2 linked regions of the Struthio camelus genome follow. The protein of the gene in region 1 interacts with the protein of each later gene in a pairwise test. Links are inferred from orthologs where the notes say so. Each region holds a gene or a part of one and is shown in the gene's direction. Other genes may lie near its edges.

Region 1 (9,440 bases):
CCCTTTCCTTGCAATGTTGGGAATCTGCATCACAGAATTATGCTACCGTGTAAGAAATAGCAACTGAAATCAGCTAAGGGAGACAAAGAAGTGAAACCAGCTAGCCTAAATTCGGGAGAAACTCATTCTGGGGCACTGATTACATGAAACGGTTCCCTGTCTCAGTTGTACTTGCAACACTGCAGTGTTCGGAGAGCCATGCTGTTGCCTCCTGCGCTTGCCACATTAAGCAATAGTGGCTTTCTGTGTGTGCCCTGGGCTTTCCAAGGCACTCACACTGCTGTAAGCCTGGGAAATAGGTGATAAAGTCTCCAAATACAGGACATTTCTCAATGCAGTAAAACTAGGAGGACTGGCTGAAGCAAGGTGCTGCTTACAGGTTTCTTGCTGCTTCCTCAAGCAGGAGAATAGCTTCTATTTGCTAATAGAAGGGAGGCAATGTGGCATAGGGGAATATAGGTACATGACTGTATTCCATGTAAGGCAATAGTCATATAGCAAGGTACATGTTCCTATGTATGTTAACTGGCTCAGTGAGAAAATGCATGTTATTTACTCCTTAGAAAATGATCCAAAAGTTCTTCTTTTAATCCCCTTTTTATACTGCATACCAACCTTTGCAACACTCCTGGCTTCATTAACCTCAGCAAATGATGGCACCAAACACAACCTTTCTCACAATACAGCACAACTGATACAGCTAGTATTTTCTAACTAATAATTTCTGGGATTTTTGCAAGCTTCTCCCTTTGCAGGTGAAACTCAGTAATTAAGACTGACCTTTGAAAGCTACCACTCACAATGATATCTGCTGCTTCTGCTTAATTTGCTCCCCTGTTGCACATATAAAACTGTGAATAATTGCTATGGTTTATTAAAGCAGAAAATAAAAAGCCCTCAAACCACTGAGATCATCCTGTTTCAAAACATTCAACAGCACATAATAGGTATGAACGTTTTGAGCAAGTTATCCTAATAAAAAATGAGGGGAGTCAGATATCTGCCTGTTCCTATTTTGTACAAGTGTCACTCTGATCTAGTGATAACAGGTCTTCAGGATTATACTGATCTGGAATCCTGCACATCAAGCAGGTCTCTCTGGTTGTGGAAAAATTGTAGACTAGTAATATAGGTATCCTAACTAAAGCTTTTATAAATGATGAATTAGGACTCAAAAATCATGACAGCATCTTAAAAATGAGATTTTGGGGGGTTTAAATGTCTCGTAACTGTTCTTTCACTACATCCTCAGCTGGTAGAAAGCACTGCTTTCGTATTCAGAAGAACCATAAAACATGAAGGTTAGAAACCTGTTGCTGCCTCTAAATAAATGTTGAGATTATTATGAAACAACATCAAGGAAAACAAAACAAGCAAATTTGGACATCCTGGGACTGCTAATAACATCAGAGGAGTTGGCAGCATTGTGTCTCTTCCTGCCCTCTGAATGAGGGTCAAAGACCTGAACTTCTGATAATGGAATCAAAAGTAACAAATAACTGTATATAATCACAAACTTGCTTTGCATTGAAACTTACTTTGTTATGTAATGCATTTTAAGTTGAATATAAAAGGGAATTAATACAAGCAACATTGCAAACAGCTTCTCATGTGGCTAAAGGCAAGGTAATGGTTCCGAAAGAGGGCTACAGAGGGTCCAGGGTTTTGGATGTATAGATTTCATGTCCTGCATGGATCCTAGAGCCTCACTTTTTGTATTTACTTTCAGCTTCTTAGCCCTGAAACAGCAGAGTCTGAGCTAGTTCCTACCTGCTCCAGTGTTCCTGGCTGGGGCTGGCAAGTGACCTACTCTGAGTAGTAAACTGTTGTCGAATAGCCCCACTTGCACCCATCTCCATCCCAAGGCCTAGCAAAGGTGACAGGCCGAAACTGCCGCCCCATATCCTGCATGGAAAGCTGGCGAGTGAACAACCCAGAAGTACAGGCAAGCCTCGACCCAGCTGAGTTGCTCTGGTCTGAGGCGCCAAGGTTGCCCTGGAGCCCGTGCCCTCTGATGCCCAGGGCGGGCGGGCAGGCAGGAGCCCCACTTCTGCTGCGTTCACGGGGGGCGGTGCCCACCCTGCAGCCAAAGCCCAGTGCAGCCTTTGAGGTGACCTTTGGTAAACCCTTTGCAGATGCCCTTGAAAGCCAGGGATCCAACCACAGAGCGAAGGACACGAGTTTGGGGAAGCTGTTTGTCTCCTGAAGTCACTGCTCCAGCTTTTAGAAAGAAGCACTGCAGAAGTGGAGGCTGCAACCACAGTGCAGCCACAAGCCTGGTCCGGCAAGGGGATTTCCTGCACTTACAGATCTCTTCTGCGCGCAGCGTGGGGACACAGGCTGGAGCTCAAGTAGGATTCTACCCTGATTCACTGTGTCGGCTGCAAAGCTGGTCAGGAGAAAGGCACCCGCCTCCCTCTCCCCAAATGGGCACCCTGAGTCTGTTCACAGCAAGAAGCCCCAAGTTCACCAAATCAATCAAATCTCACAGTTCGCCAGAACTGGAGGGTTTCCTGCAGATTTTATATTCAGGATGATTTATGATTTAATTTAAACATGTAGTTTCCAGACGTTTCTTTTTGCAAGCAATCACCTAGGCTACATTAACCTGATGGTGATGTACTGCCATCCCAGGGAGCCCTCAGAGAGAGCGAGCCAGACAACAGCACTCAGAGGTGTGAACTTCCCCCATTTATCTTCATGGGGTGTGCAGTCTTGCCAGGGAAGCAAGCCTAATCATGTTAACCCCCTCACTGCCAGCCTCTGCCACTGAAAGGCCCAGCTATATGGCAGTATGTCCTGTATGGGCCTTTTCCCTCCTTTGCTTGGATCGTTCCTAGCAACAACAGACGCAAGCTTCGCATGAAGCGGGTGTAAACAGTCCGTGGGGGGTTTGCGGTTACGCTCATCAAGATGAGCTACAGATTCCTGGAACGCCACAGTGCAGGTTGCAGGTTTGCAGAGTGTCTTGAAAGCTTTTTTTCCCTCCCTCCATACAGTTTGTTGCAACAGATGCAGCCACAGAAGTGTTACAGTTGAATACACCTTTGAACAAGTTATAAATTCTCCCTGCATCCCATGGGAGACAGAAGACAAAAAGCAGCAGATGGGAAATGATCCTTGGGAGACTCTTGCATCTGGTTTGGATATGGTCATCTCTGCCTAAGGTTTGCTTCATCCTATGTGCAGTATTCACAACAGTGGCACAAGGTTTTTCTTGTCACCACATGGGAATGGTCCTTATTAGGGCCAGAGCTAACAACCTGGGAAGGTCCCTATTGCATTCAGAGCTGTGGTATCTGGCTGTCAGCTGTCTCTCACAGAAAATGCAGCTCTGAGCCTCCTGTGCCACTTGAGGGGTTTCCCTTTTGCAACCAGAAGGGTGTTTGCAAGTGCCTCTGAAGATGGCAGCTGCTCAAAAAGATAGTGATCCTTTCCTCTGAACAGGGCTAGTTGCAGCTGCAGAGCAGTGCAGCTGGTCCTTCCCTTGTGAGAGAGCAAGGACACCTGAGCAAGGCTTCTCGGGGAAGATGCAAAATGAAGTTGCTGCTTCAAGAGAAAGGGCTTTTAGGAATTTCTAATGCCCAGAGCTCGAGGTACCAGACCATTCCCAAGCTGTCCCACATCAGAGGACACAACTGCTCGCTGGTTTCCCTTACACCTCTGCGTGGCAGCAAGGATGGACGAGCACCTTAGGCTGCTCCAAAAGCAGAGACCCCTTCTCTTTTTGCAAGCTAGGGACAAACAGGAGAGGTGTCTCTTAAACAGCCTTTTCATTATGTTTATACTTAAAAATCTTACGGTGACTAAAGCAGTTTGCATAATAAACAGCTCTAGAGCCAGAAATACTTGCCTGCCCTCAGTAAAAAAAGGAAGTCCTCAGATCCTCTTCTGAAGACAGCAAGAAAGTGACAGAGTTTTCCCTTTACAGGATATAAATATGCAGTGCAAATAGGTGGCTGCTGTCGCTGCTTACATTTTGATGTATCGCTTCTGATAGCCTGGCAGTGCTGGATTATTTTAGTGTCAAATCAAAGCCCTGGTTGTATAAAGAAGCCGGGGAAAGGTAAAGCCTGTGCTGCAGCACTGGATGGAAGCTCCAAGAAGACTGGAGGCAGTCCTGTGAGACATGTACCAGCCGTGCATACTAAACCTGCCATTCAGCACACCAGAGAGAAAGCCCCTTTAGTAGACCTGCTGCAGACCTGAAATAGACGTCTTCAGATTTGGGGCTGCGGAGGGCATTTTGGTTTGTTTTTGTAGTGAGGCACATGATTCATTCTCATATTAGCTAAAAGAAAAGAAAGCGTTTGTTTTGTTTTTCCCCTCAGTTTCCTCATGAGAGAAAACATTTAAGGGGCTGTTTACATAAGAAGAAAAATCTTGCTGACTGATTCTTTTTTAAAGCAGAAAGCTGCCATTTGCACCACACCGTTGCTCACTGTCCTTGCCTTTAATCTCAGCTCAAATCCACCCTGTCTGCATGCCTGCTCAGCGTCATTTTTATCTGGACACAGGACACCTGTACAGCACCTAGCACACAGTAATCTTTTTATGGCTACCGCGGCCTCCGAGTTCCACCCCGATACAAACGCGTAGTCAGACTAATAATGAAAGGTCAGCCTCACGCTTAGCCTCTCTACAGGGCAGATGCGCACAGCAAGCACAGCTCGCTTCCTGCCAAAAGGAACTGACAGCCGTCTCATTTTGAAACGCTCAAACTCAAACCACACACATCAGACCACTTATGCTCCCGCAGGGTTTGCAGGAGCGTGCCGTGGACGGGCTGGCGGAGTTCCTCCCGCGGAGGACCGGACTAAGAGACAGGCCAGCCAGGCCCCAAAAGCCATCGGCGGCGCTTCCAGAGGGAAGACGCACACCGCGCGGAGCCGCCCGGCCGGGACGACGCCTTGGGCGTGTGCGCAGGCCGCAGCCGCCGCGCCGGGCGCGGGCTGGGCCGGCGGGAGCGGAGCCGGGAGCCCAAACCGGCCCCGGCGGCAGAGCCGCGGCCTGCCAGGCCTGGCGAGGCGCAGGGCAGGCCCCACGCCGCCCCCGAGGACATCCAGCCACCGGGCGCTGTAACGGGAGTCCCGCGAGGCCCGGCAGGGCGCTCGCGCTGTAACGGCGTCGGTCACCGGGGGCGCTGCGGAGGGGAAGGGCTCCCTCGGCCCGCGGGGCGGCCGCCGGCCCGCTCCCCTCCTCCTGCCGCCAGGGCGCCGCCATCTCCCCCGGTCGACCCCCCCAGGGGCGGGGCCTGCGCCGCGAGGGGCGGGGCGTCGTATGCAAATAGAGCGCGGCTGCCCGCAGGGTGCCACGGGGGGCGCACGCGCATTCCGCGCTCAGTGGGGAACGGGTCCTTACACAATGCGCCGGGTTCCCTCAACGGTGTTGGAGGGGGCGCGAAGCAGCGGGGCGGGGTCGGGTATGCAAATGTTGCTTGCTTCCGTCGCGCGATTGGAAGGGCGGGAGGAAGAGGCGGGACCGGATATGTAAAGAGAGAGCCGGCGTTCAGCGCGCGCGCGCGCGTGGGAGGGGGGGAGGAGGGCAGTGGGGCGGGGCCTGCGTATGCAAATGTAGCCGGCGTCTCGCGCGCGCGGTGGGGCGTGGCTCGGGTGCAAACGCCCGGGCGGCCGTTTCCCGGCTCCCGCCCCAACGCTCTCGCTAACGTTCCCGTGGCCACGCCCCGCCGCTAAAAGGCGCCGCGCCTGCGCAGTGCGCGGAAATAAGGACTTAGTCTGTTACACAACCGGCGGCGGGGCCAGGGGGCTGCGCTCTCCCGTCGCGTTCAGGCTCCGCGCTTCCCCGGCGGCTCGGCTCTCCTCTCCGCTGCGCTCCGCTAGGCCTCCGGCGCCTTCCGGCATGAGCGGCGACCATCTGCACAACGACTCCCAGGTGAGAGCGCCCTCCGCCCCGGCGGGGAGCCCCGCTCCCCGGGGGCGCCCTGCCGCGGGGCCCTTCGCTCCCCTCAGGGTCGGCGCGGCGGGCCCGGCTGGAGCCCTCCCCTCCCCCTCCCACCGCCTTGCCCTCAGCCGGGCGGCGCTGCCCTCCTGCCGCCCCTCAGCCGGGGCCCCCCCGCGGCCCCGGGGAGAGCCCTGTCAAGCCGGGCTGCCCCCGCCGTGGCGGGGCGCCGCCGCCGTTTGTGCCCAGGCGGAGGTGGGGTGGGGGAAGGGACTCGTGAGCGGCCCCCTGCCGGCAGGAGGGGAGGGGGCTGGCGGGGGCACCCCGGAGCCGTGCGGGTGCCGGGGGGCAGCTTCCTGCCGCCCGCCGCGGAGGGCACTCGTGCGGCGGGCTGGTTATTTCTCGCTTGTTGTCCACTTTTCCTAAAAATGAGAATTAAGCGGGTGGGGAGGGGGGAGAGAAACCCCCGCGCGCCCCTTCTTCCCCCTAAAGTGGGGGGGGGAAAAAAACCCGTGCCGGGACGGTGTTTTCACGGTGTGTCTCCCTGTCTCCCCTCTCCCGCAGATCGAGGCGGATTTCCGAGCGAACGGTGAGTGAGGCCGCGCCGGCCGCGCACAGACATGGCGTCCCAGAGACTAAGTCCCGGCTCCTCGCTCACCGGCCCCATTGTTCCCATCGAGCCGCCCAAAGCGCCCCTTTGCCGGGGGCCTCGGCCCCCCCCGGCCCCCTCTTCCCCTAGAGGGGGCTGCGGAGGCCCCCGATCCGCGCCCATCGGCCCTCCCGGGGGTCCCTTTGGGCCCCGTTCCTCCCTGGAAAGTCGCCTTGTCGACGGTCGGGACTTAGTCTCTGCGCCATTTTCTTTTTCTCCTCTCTGCTGTGTGGCTTTCTCTGCTTCTCCTCCTCCCTGAGCTGCCGAAAAGGAGCCTCCCGCAGAGGAACCCGGCACCGATCCCCGGCCCACGGCCCCTTCTGAGCAGGCACAAAAGCAAAGTTTTTAGCTAAAATAAACCCCCGAGCTGGTTTTTATCGCAGCCTCCCTCTCCCCCCCCTCTACTGCTCCCCTGCTCTGTTCCTTTCAGGGAATCCCTCCCTTCCCCTAAAATGAAAGGTGATTGCAACATGTTGCTCTTTAAAAGATTCTGCTGCATCCATTTTAAGATCACTCTTATTTCATTCCTTGCTGTTTAATTGATGTAACTTTACATTTTGGGGTGGGGCTTTTTAATTAAAAAAAAGCAAAGATTAAAAAAAGATAATATAGACAATTCCAGAAAGGTAGACAGCATCACTTCAGAAAGTTTGCAAGTTGACTCTTTGTTTTGGTTAGAAAGGTTATATACATACACATATGTGTGTCTATATGTATACATAATTATGTTTTTTAAGAAGCTTGACAGCTACCGACTTTTTTTTTTTTTTTGAGTGTTGCTGCATTTTTCCAGGAAGCAAATTCTTTTCCCCCCAGCCTGGTACATGGCAGATTTGGGGGGAGGAGGAGGTAAAAACCTACCTTTGCATGCGTGTGTTATTGTCCTACTGATGGGGTTGTCTGAGGAGCTCAGAGCTGTCCCCTAACTGTTGAGGTGGTAGAGGACAAAAAGGTTTGAAGAGAAGATACCTTAGCTTGGCTAAATGCATTCTTACAGCAATACTGATTTTCAGCACACCTTTCTGCACAATGTCTGTGTGCCTGGTTGCTTTGCAAGCTACTGCACGTAAATATTTACAGATCCCTGTTTGTGTGCTCCTCTCTTTCTCTTATCCATTCATTGATGTGATTGTGTATGTACAATAGGAGCATGCGGTTTCAAATCTATAGCTTTTAAACTTTTCTTTCTACTCTGAAGCTACAGTAGGGCTCTATGAATAATCCTTAGCAGAAGAAAGGGAGGAAGTGGAGTTCCCTGAAAATGCAGTAGGAATTCTTGAAACAACTTAAATGCAAGCATGTATTTGAATACTTGTAGCCTTATGCTGGGAAATATTTGCCAAAGGGTCACTGCTATTTCGGGAAAAGTAACCCCTGAAAAGCTTCAACTACTTACTGGTTTAAACAGGGGAAGTGATGCTTGTTCAACTATTCCATTCCAACTTCTAGTGAACATCTTAGGAGGGTTTTTTTCTCCTTCATTATAACTATATGCTGCTTTATTCTTAGGACGGTTTTAGGCATACAGCGCTTAAAACTCCTTCAATTCTGACTTCTACTATGTGTTGGAGGAAGTCATTACACAGATGTAAAGTAAGACATCTAGATGGAAAAAGTGTGTTACTGGTGAATCAAACACACCGAACAAGTTCATACCAGTTTAGGTATCAGCGCTCTTTTCTTCCTATTGTATTTGCCCATTGAATTTATTTTTATGGCTGTCATGAAACATCATTGTGGCTGATCAGAGGCTCCTAAAATCCAAAATCCTCTTCAGTGATGAAAGCTGTGTGTAACCCTTTTAGTTTTGTAAGGGAATAATGATGAGTAGACACTGTCCTCTCTGACCTTGGGCCAAGACTGATATTCCTGAAAACCTGTCACCTCCTTTTGCTCCAAGTTTTTTTCAGGCTTGTTTCCTCTTCCCAGGAGTACCTTACGCTTTTGTGTCAGAAACGTCACACGCTGATCTGAGAATATCGTTTCTCTTTTAGGCATAGGTGAGAGCTCAAGCTCTAATTCTTGTTTTGATCCTGTTTAGTGGCGGAGATGGGGGCAGCAGGAATCTCAAATTACTTCATCCAGGTGTTTAGAATTGCTTCGTACTTTGGTTATTATCAAACAGCTCTTACAGTAGAGCCAAAGCCTCCTTTTAGGCTGCCTTTTCCCTTTACGTTAGGGGGAAGGGAAGTTTTTGTTGCTGGTAGCCTCTAAAAGTTAAATGTACCAGTCCTAAAGGGTTCTGCTAATAAACAGTGTTTTGAGTGACTTCTGGATATTGTATCAATGATAGAGTAACTTAAGCACTTTGAAGTTTCCTGTTGTTACAAATATCTTTCATATCTAGGTCAGTGGACATACTACTTTGAGTTTTAAGCACACAAGATGTTGCAACTGAAGTAAGGTGGGTGGGGGTGGATCTACTAGCTAATTGGAGGTCACCAAGGAGCACCCTGGTTGTAGCTAAGATCTTAAGTCTGATTACACACCAGTTTCATTGGTAGCAGGATAGTGTTGGGTACGAGAGAGGATGCCAATTGTAAATGTAAATATGTGTTTCTGGCTATTTCTTGTCATTAAATAGCCAGATCGCTCTAAGCAAGTGTATCCTGGGCAAATTCCAACTTGGGTAATTGCATTCCATCTGAATATCCAGATTCTCCCTCCTGTTTAATTTGGCCATATTGAATTTTTTTTTCACCTTAACTATATTTTTAGTGGCAGTATGCACTGCAAAGACTTTTCCGTGCTCAGTTCTAGCAGTGGCTGCTTGCAAACCATCCTGAGAACAATATTGAGCTGAAACAGTAGGCCTGTTTTTTAAAGTTCCATCCTCACAATCTGCACCGCTGTAGAAGGGAGATGGTAGTCTAAAACTGTCATCTCCAAGTAC
Region 2 (9,902 bases), on another chromosome or scaffold:
ATACTGTATTGTAAATCACAGACTGTGTGCTGCACCAGAGGCAATATAATGTAGTTCATATGGTATGCACTGGGGGTCAGAAGGCCACGTGCTAATGATCTGCTGAGGATTTGGGGGGATTCTCCAGCAGCAATCACACTACCAAAGAAGCACGCAAAGAGGAATTAGTGGTTAGTGTCCATTTCACTTTCAAAATTGAATATCAGCACCCCCAAAAATAGAGCTGCTTTGTGTGTTACGGCGTATCTGTTTGCTAATGAATAATCTAAGATGGATAGAAACATCTCAATAAAGTTAATGGGCGTCAGAGCAAAAAGGGAGTATTTTGTTATGCTATCTGGCTTAAACTGTAAATGGCAAGAGTGTGGCTTCTCAGTAAGAATCTTGCTAATCATGTGAAAATCAAACTGCTAACTAAATACCCTGTTAGAAATAGAGGAAATGTGTGCCAGCCTGAAGTGCTCCTGTGCCTCAATAGACTGCACACATTGAGCAGGGACGGGAAAGTAAATGACTTCACAAAGTATTCACTGTTCAGTCATAAAGAGATGGTGGTAATAACCAATAAAAGAAATTCCCCACATTTGCTTCTGCAGTTATGCAGTAAAATAACATTTAATTATGGGAAAAATGTATCAGAGTTTTGCCAGAGAGCCAGCCAAGTCAGAATTCAAAATGATCTATTCAAATAGATACATGGTGAGTCTAAGAACACCCGGACATTTTCTCAGGCTTAATTAATTGGGTTTGTAAAGCACTTGTCAGATAAAAGATGTGAAGAATGTTGCTGTTGTTCTTTGCTCTATATTTTGAAATAAGGAACTGTGCAGAATGAAAAATGAGAGAGCTACCTCCACAATTGGTAGAGCTGAGTGAATCAAAATTTCCTTGTGAGATTTTTGCTGGTTGCACGCATCTTCTTTGAATTAGGATTCTGAAAATATTCTCAGAAATATATATATTAGCAGGCACGTTTACTACAACAGTGTAATGTAAGCAATAATTGCGATATAAAATAATGTAGAAATTAGGAGTATTATCACTGAAGTCTGAGAAGTATGTCAATATAACTGGGAGCACATGCACATAACAACCTATATACTCCAGGAGAGCTAATCAGCAAAGCTGAAAATGTGCAATACAGTGCTCACATGCAAGAATTACTTGCAGAAATTATAGGGCAAAGAATTATAAAATGTAAAAAATTCTGAGACAGTTGCACACATATTATGGTCCGTTTTAGATCACAGTAGAATGTATAACAGAGGATCAAATATCAATTGCTCTTATTTTGGCTTTTTTATCAACGTTGTTTAGGCACTCTATGGAACACTAGAGAAAAACTAATCCCTGCCTTCCAGTGTTCCCCAAATCTAAGACCTTGAGTTTTTGTTCTGTGCTTGCATGGATGCCAAAGGAATTCAGCAGTGCGCCATAAACTGCAAGGTTACATTACCTGCAGATCCCACATCACAACAGTACAGGTTAATGCTAGCTAGAGATAAGGAAATAATACTAATCACAATAAAGAGCTCAAAGAGATAACTGTTTCTGTAACTGTAATGCTACTAGTAATTTAGTTAGGGAATGGTAGTATGCATGTCTGTCATTCACAGCAATGGCATGGAGCAGATGTAGGGAATTTTAAGTATCCAACTGAGCATGGAAAGAAAAAAGATGTCATCAAATGGCCACAATTGGCCCCAACCAGGAAGTTCAATCAGAAACAAATCTGTAATTTGCTCTGAATTATTCTTTTCCGTCCTGAAGCAGAGGAAGGATGCTAACTGCTTAGGAGAACAATAATTAATCCCTGTAAAGTTGTGTGCCAGCTCAAAAACTAAGATCATAACAAGTAGTTACTTAGAACATACACAAAGCTGAGTTCATGTGGGAAAAATAAGGAAAGGGAGGAGAATTTAAATAAAGTCAGGAACAAATGACCGAAAACAATATGCTTTGTAACTCAAACCCTTTGATGGCTCTCACAGAACTGGCCCTGTACTCCTGGCAGGGAAGTACAGGGTCTCTGGGCAGGCATTCCTGTGCTTCTGGGACAACCCTGGCATCACAACTATCTCAGAAATCCTCCAAGTTTGGTCACTAAATTCTCTGATATTTTTTCAGTATATGTCAACGCACTTTCTCCTCTGTCTCCCTGCTGTCAGGTAAAGGAACCTCAGTGATTAGAAAGTTCTTCTTTTATGAATTTTCTTAACAAAAAGCACCAGGTCAACATGAGCTAGCTCAGGCCCCTGTGTAGACCTTGGACGCATGTTTCTCAAAGGCGTGGACGCTCCCTGACCTTCTGTTTTGCTGGCTAGTGATCAGCACAACCTTCTCAGCTAATATAATATAATACTGTTGAACTTTTGTCTGCAGCCCTTGATTTGTAGCCATTCTGTTACATGAGATCAAACAAAAAGTTCTTCTGGGCCAATTCACGCTGTTGATGTTACATAAATATTTTTATCTGTATTAATTTCTATTACATTTCCTAGATAAAAACTGAGCATGTTAAGAAAGCAAACAACAGGAGAATATTTTAGTGACATTCGTGAGTAACCCCTTTTAGGAAATGCATTGTGTATTATTTATGATTTAGACTGGTAAATACAATCCCATGACATCACCTTTAAAAATGGCTGTGCTCCATCTACTGATAACGCCAATGAAAGACTAGCTGACTTTTTAAAGGAGGAAGCTGGCATAAAAATTATAAGGTGAAACAAATGTCTGAAGTTTATTGTCTACATGCAGAAAAGCCCAGTTTTAAAAGGAAATCTGTTATTTAATATTTCTGCAGCTCTCTACTTCCAAAACTGTTTAAATTAGTGCATTTGGCTTTTAGCTGATCTGTATATGGGCATCCAAGTCTCATTTCTCCTTTTATCTGTCCTTTCCAGTTTTTCTTTTTTTTTTTTTGGGGGGGGGGGGAGCGCTTATATAGTTTTATGATTTCTTTTATGTTATTTTAATTTTTGTTTGTTTCCCTCATTTTATTTCTCAGCTTTCTTTGTCAGCCTGTTTTATAGTTCTTTCCCATTCTTTCTCTCCTGCAGAACTTCCCTTCCTCGCTACAATTTCTCCTCTGTGAAGTTACCTTACATGTTCTGTCTGCCCCAGCCTCTTTCCTTTTCATGCTTTGGCCTACTATTTCTGCTTTTTGCCTTACCCCTTTTCCATGCTTGTTAATTTTCGCTAGTGCGTTACCAACAGTATGTTCACATTGCAGGAGACAAGCAGGACAATCATGTCTGTTGGCTCCCAGCTGACAGACTGACCTGTGAGCGAACACAAAAAGGTGAAAGGAGAAAGACAACTGTGCAGAACTTCTAACGCCCAGATCATTCCATGACTGAAAAAAAAAATTTTCCACGTGTACACAGTGTAACCAATTCCCTCATGGGGTTTTCCATCTCCCATGACAACTGATTCATTTTTCCTTCCTGAAAAGGCTCTTCACCCCCCAAAATCACTTCTCAAGTAATAGTTCCTAGCTAGTGCCTTCAGGTTCCCCGAGATGGGCCTGAAGCAGTGTGGTGAATCTCAGTTTTCTGTTCTTCCAGTCCCTACACTGCTAGGGGAATCTGGGTCTCTCCCACTCTCTAGTCTTTGTCCACGTTGGGACAAGGAAAGCACAAAGGCAATAGCTTAATTCTTCTGACTGAGCATTACCTGATTTATTTTTAATATAGCATCTACTTGCTGTCTTGTGGTTTGTATACTCTGTCTTCTTATGTCCTTTCCCACGATGGCCTACCCCAATTAAATTGCTTCCATCTTCCTTAAGCTTCTGTAAAATTTGTTCTGCGAAGCAGACGACGTTTGCTTGGTCTCAGTTTTGTCCTAATTATAAACCTAAATGCAGAGTGGTGACATATTCTGTTCCTCTTTTAGCCACATGCTTCCATAAATGCTGACAAGTCAGGAGCTATGATAAATAGCTTTCAGCTCCATAATTTAAATTTCTGCTGTATTTACAGCAAAACTCCAGTAGATGGCAAAAGGATCCACTTTATTTTTCAACTGACAGGGCTTAGTTTCCCCTTACTGTGAAAAGGATCTTGCAGTTCCAGAGAAATTTAATTCAGATCTCACCAACTTTATTTTGTGTATCATATATTTTAAAATTCAGTCTCTGTTCTGCAGCAAGCACTGAACTGTGGGGGCAATTCAGAAGTTTTTTCAGTTGAACACAATAATGTAGGACAGTGTAAGATTTTGTAAAGACACTATTACATTGAAATGTTATGATGAATTACACAGATTTACGAGTATCACCTTTCCCGCTCTCACAGAACTACTGCCCTGAGAAACTTAAGTGCAGCCCGTCCAGTAGCAAATATCGGTGGTAGGGAGGTCTTTTATTTCACCCTTGTCACACAAACACACTTTTTCCTCTCAAAAGCCACAAAGGCAGTAAATTAAAAAAGATCCTAGTTGGTTTGTCAGAATTTGCCAACTTGATTCACCGTCCTACATTCTCTGGTCCAAAGACTTTCAACTGTATGGATAGTGCTTTAGGCACAAAAAATGTGCTCTCTGCTACATTCACTATTGCTAGTTGTTTTGTTCTGTTTTCTCCTCAAAAGTTTAAAATATGAAATGTAAATGGATTTCTTATATAAAAACGTACCAACAGCCTTTAAAATATTATTTCAGAAATGCACACACAGTTAAAGTAGGTATCGATCCCCGATTTGTTTCAGTTATCACAAGGAAACAGGTATAACGTTCATCATAAAAATGAATTTGGATTTCACGCGCTTTAACAACACAGCTGCAGGACGTGTTCGCTCACAGGTACCGCAGCACAGATTTCCGTGAGCGCGGCAGCGCTGCGGGCTGGGCGCAGCCGGGTTTGCCTGCTGCCCGCCTGCGGTCTCTCCTCCCGCGGGAGCGCGTTCCCGCCCCACGCACGGTAACGTTCGTCCGGAGAAAACTACCAGGTTGGTGACACCGGTTCAGGCACCTGCAGCGCGGCTCAGACGAACTCGCCTGCGCTGAGAAGAGAGTATTACTGTTTTGTAGCTTTTGCGAGGTTGAATCCAGGCGGTTTTTTTTTTTTTTTCCTGTGAGGCACCGCGCGCGGTGAGCGTGGCGCCGAAGCCCCGACGGCTGCGCAAAGTGACAGCGCCTGACCGTTACCGACCGTTACTGACCGGCACCGCTTCAGCCGAGAGGCTGCGGCATCTCCCCCTCTGCCGCCCGCCGGGAGCCCCCGAGCCCCTTCGCACCGACGGGGGCTGCGAGGCACCGCGCCCGGGCCAGGAGGAGCCCCTCGGCGGCCGCCCCCGCGGAGAGTGGCCGGCCGCGCCCCTCGGCGGCCGCTCCCCGCCTCAGCGCCGCCGCCGCCACTCCTCCCCCTCCCCCTGCGCCTGCCGTGAGGGAAGGGCAGCCCGGCGGCAACGGCTTCGCCGGGCCGCCGCGAGCCTGCGCGGCGCGGGGGCGCATGCGCGGCGCGGCCGCCGCCGGTTAGCGCCTGACGCGGGGGCGGGCGACCGGCGGCGCGGAGGGGGTGCGGGTGTCGGTGCCGCCCTGAGCGGCGATGGCGGCGGCGGCCGCCGGCTCGGGGGCGCTTGCGGAGGCGGCGGTTGCTGTTGTCGCTGCCGCCGCTGAGGCCGGCGCGGTGCTGCAGCGGGAGCCGCTGTACAACTGGCAGGCCACCAAGGGCTCGCTGCGGGAGCGCTTCGCTTTCCTCTTCTCCAACGAGCTCCTCAGCGACGTGCACTTCGTGGTGGGCAAGGGCAGCCCCCGCGGCGGCGGCGGCCCTCCCGGGCCGGGCCAGCAGCGCATCCCCGCCCACCGCTTCGTGCTGGCGGCCGGCAGCGCCGTCTTCGACGCGATGTTTAACGGTGGCATGGCCACCACCTCGGCCGAGATCGAGCTGCCCGACGTGGAGCCCGCCGCCTTCCTGGCGCTGCTGAGGTCAGGCCGCGCCGGGGGCCGGGGGGCGCGGAGCGGGGGGGGGGGGGGGGTTGGCGGTTGGGGGCCTCCGCCCACCGGCGGTTCTGCCCCTCAGCCTCACCTGCGGCCTGGGAGCCCCCTCGGCGGCCGCTGCCTCAGGGTCTCCCTGCCCCGCGCAGCCGCGGTGTCCGCCGATGCCGTGTCTATTTTGATCTTCTGGTTCCGTGGTTTTTATTTATTTATTTATTTATTTATTTTCAAGAGAGGCGGTGGGAATTAGTGGCTGCCTTATCTCTTCTGTGAGTGCTGCAACTCTCCACCTTCTGATAATGGCCCAAAAGAACCCAGGCTGTTGTACAATGCTTTTAACTTCATTTGATGCTTGCTTTGAAATTTTATTAATCTTGCTGCTTGTTTTTCGTTTTCAGGGATGGTAGTAGATTGTTGTATATTTTTGCCAAAGTAATATCTATTACAGTTGTACTTATTTCAGATATTTTTTGGGTGGAGGGGGCATGTGTAGCAGAAGACAGTTAATAAACTAATTTTACACATAAACCACCTAGGTGAGATCATCAGTGCAGTGGTGGGAAAAAAAATATAAAATGGGTTAGTAATTTCAAACTTGGGCAGAATAGGATCTGCTGCTTCTCATAATCACAAAACTGATGAATTTACCCATCCTATACTTTTACTCAGGGTAGTGGTAAATAAAATCCGCGGTATTCATAGAAACGATTACTGGCAGTTTTGTGCGTGAGACTCATTGCTGAGGTGTAGTAATATGACTAAACTGCTTAATCTTTACGTTTTTTTTCTGAAGGAAACTCTGCTAGGTAAATCCTTCATAAAATATATAAAACATTTTTGTAATAGAGATTTAGGACACAAGTAATACCATGGTCTGGAAAGAAGTTCAGTGTCTCAGAGCTTTCTGTAATGGAGAAGTAAAAAAACTCCAAAGCCTTCACAGCTTTCTCTTTTGTTTTGGGACCTAACAGGCCTAACAGTGAGGAGTCATCTACTCCTTTTAGTAATGGGAGCAACTGATTTGTCAGGCGGAGGGTGGGTTAGTTTTAAAAAAAAAAAAAAAAAAAAAAAAAAAGACACAGCAGCAGCGACTTCTGCTGTGTTGCTCATTAGCAAATTAATTGTATTGATTATCTGGATTCTCAGCAACTGGAGAGTAGTGAAAATATGAGATGAAGAGTTTGTGTAGCAGAGTGGAAAATAGTAGGAAATGTCTTTCAAACAAAAATCTTTTCCAGGGTTAAAAGTAAATGAAAGCGCGCATGTATATGTGTGTGTGCGTGTGTTTATATAGCTGCATGTTGAAAAATGTGGTACAGTGAAAAGTGGATATAATTGGATAAGTTAGCTTGGATAAAAATGTGAACGCCAAAGTGGTTGAGTTCTAAGTAACAGTAAGAAGGATAATACATGAAAACTGTAAAAGTGAATGAAGAGATGTTGTTGCAATCAAACAAAAGCCATCTTATGCTTGCTAGTACGTAATGGCCTGGGGACTTACGTAAATAAACTTATTATACTTACATCTTGTCTAAATATCACCAGACTGATGAACTGATAAAGCTTCTCGGATTTGAAATCTCCTTTGGTTTGAAATACATTGCAGCTTTTTTAGGACATTCTTCTCTATTATATGTATCTTTTGAGCTTATATCGGAATAAATATAAATTGCAACACAATGTTAAACACATCTGAGGAAAACTTCTTTAATACAGACCAGTACTGGATTTTTCCCATACCAGTACACACTATTTTTAAATTATACTGACTATAAGACCACCTGTTTTTTCCCAGTGTTGACCAGAAGAGGCACAAGAACTTTACCTTGCATTATTATCCTCTTTTGTCTATCGTTAGTAAATTTGCCAGCTGGTGGTGATAGCCTTTTGTGGGACCCTCTGTTAATCTCTGCACAGGCCAACCAGAGCTGTATTGGCTAGGAGTTAGGTCAATTGGGATCTTTGCCTATACATAGCAGAAAAGCATGAAGGTAAAGTAAAAAATTAAACTGATGTACATTTTTTTTAGAGGGCATTTACTAACTATTTAATGTTCAACAAATCGTTTCTGTTTTACTTACTCATACATTGTGTTAGGTCCTGTCTGTAGTTGATATGTTTGGTAAAGATAATCCTACTTGCCGTTTAATGCCCCAAAAAATATTTGTATGAAAATTTTTCTGTTTTTCTTAAACTGATAGTCTTCATCTGTCCGGTGAGACTGTTATTTCCTTGTCTTATGAGGTAAACTTTCCTCAGTGTTAGTGTTTTGTTGCCAAATACATCATAGTTTCAGAATTAAATTTATGGGGCGGAAACAAGCAGTTAGAAATGGCACAATTTAAACAGCGAATATTTACCAAGTTAACGTGACATGTGACATCTGTTTTTTTCAATTTTTCTTTGGATATATTCATGCACGATTTAAAAATGGGGCTACAATTGCTACCTTTTTTCGGAAAGGGGCCTCTAAAATACCAGATTTTTAGAGTTAACATATTTAAAAATAATAGAAAAAAGCTTTAATTGATAGTACTGCTGTAATCTGAGTAATAAGTTTTGGAGGTTCTTTTTACCCTGAAGAAAGTTGTGCATGTCCTCCTCATCTATCATTTTGGCTAAAATCTTAACTGTAAAAATGGAAGAGGAGGAGACTTTTGGAACTTACTGGGGGGGGGGAGAAAACAGTCTTAGAAAATAATTGGCTGAGCTCAGGGGCCTAAAAACGACTGTGGTGTGTGTTTTGGCTTACCATCCGGTATTCCTCTTGCCTGAAGAGTTCTCAAACATGAGCCAAAGAAGTTTTTCTAAAGTAGCTGACTGCTTCAGTAGTTTGGCAGATAAATCCTTAAGAACTCGAAATTAAGTCAAAGCCCCAAAGTTTGTGTCTGCTTTTTCTGATTTGTAATTAGTCAACTTCTTTTGCATATTTCTAACTGCGTAACTTGAGTAGCTGAGATCTGGAAAGTCAAAGTAGTTTCATACTAGCGTTACGTGTTTCTGTTTTAGGGTTTGGATTTGTTTTTTAATAAGTTTTTTTTTAATTTCTATTCATTCTCATTTTAAAATGCATTTTAGAGTAATTTAACTTGTACTTTGATCATAGTATACAGGGAAGTGGCAACATAGGATAAAATTAACCTGGATGTCTTAGCAGAGGATTTTGACAAGCAGTAAATAGAGGGGTAACCACGGCTAACTGGGAAAGATCTCTGTGTTTTTTATATTGGTGAGAATATTTCAGTTGTTCGGAAGATGCTAGGGCTATGGGAGAAGGAAGTGCTAACTTGAGAGTGAAGAAAAGTGGCATAAAATTTGAGATGCTTATTTAAAATCAGTGGTTGAGTGGTTCCTTGGGAAACTGTTCTGTCCACTAAAAGTGTTCCTCCACTACCCTCCTCTTCCCCCCCGGTGAAAATAAAATTAATCAGTGTCCAAAGAGCAGATTATTTCCTGTGAGTCTGAAACTCCTGAGGGGAAGGGGAGGAGGGAGGGAGGGAGGGAGGGAGATAATGGAGAAGAAGTGGTCTTGAACCTCACTGATCTTAGCAGTCTGCTAATCAAGGAGAACTACTTCTAATTTATTTTTCTCTTTCTTGGCAAAGAAAAAATTGGCCTCTGAAATCAAAGGAGGAGAGAATGGAGGGATCTGCAAAAATGGGATGTAAATTTAAATGAAAGGAGAAGAGGAAGCAGAGAGAAAAAGATGGGGGAAATATGTTTTTAAATGTACACATGAAAGATGAATGGAAGAGGAACAATAGCATAAACATAAAAGAATGCTCATTCACACTTCCCACAAATGGGAGAGTCAGCACAGCCTGGAGAGCTGCTGGCACACGAGCAGAGGGATTTTTCCAGAGAGAAGACACACCTAGAGTTCTTCTTTATGAATAGAGAAATGCCTCATGATCATCAATCCATATACTTAAGGAAAATACTGTAGTATTATATGAAATTTT

The links.
Region 2: the proteins of TOP1 (region 1) and BTBD1 interact in a two-hybrid assay, tested with the Homo sapiens proteins (2 studies listed by BioGRID). The link is inferred for Struthio camelus from reciprocal best matches to the Homo sapiens genes TOP1 and BTBD1.

What each region holds. Positions count from the first base shown.
Region 1 is NC_090959.1:7,165,633-7,175,072, forward strand, and holds the start of TOP1 (DNA topoisomerase 1), read left to right. Parts: upstream 1-5,332; 5' UTR 5,333-5,859; coding exon 5,860-5,892; intron 5,893-6,462; coding exon 6,463-6,487; intron 6,488-9,440. UniProt on the Homo sapiens protein: Releases the supercoiling and torsional tension of DNA introduced during the DNA replication and transcription by transiently cleaving and rejoining one strand of the DNA duplex.
Region 2 is NC_090953.1:11,983,018-11,992,919, forward strand, and holds the start of BTBD1 (BTB/POZ domain-containing protein 1), read left to right. Parts: upstream 1-5,507; 5' UTR 5,508-5,551; coding exon 5,552-5,931; intron 5,932-9,902.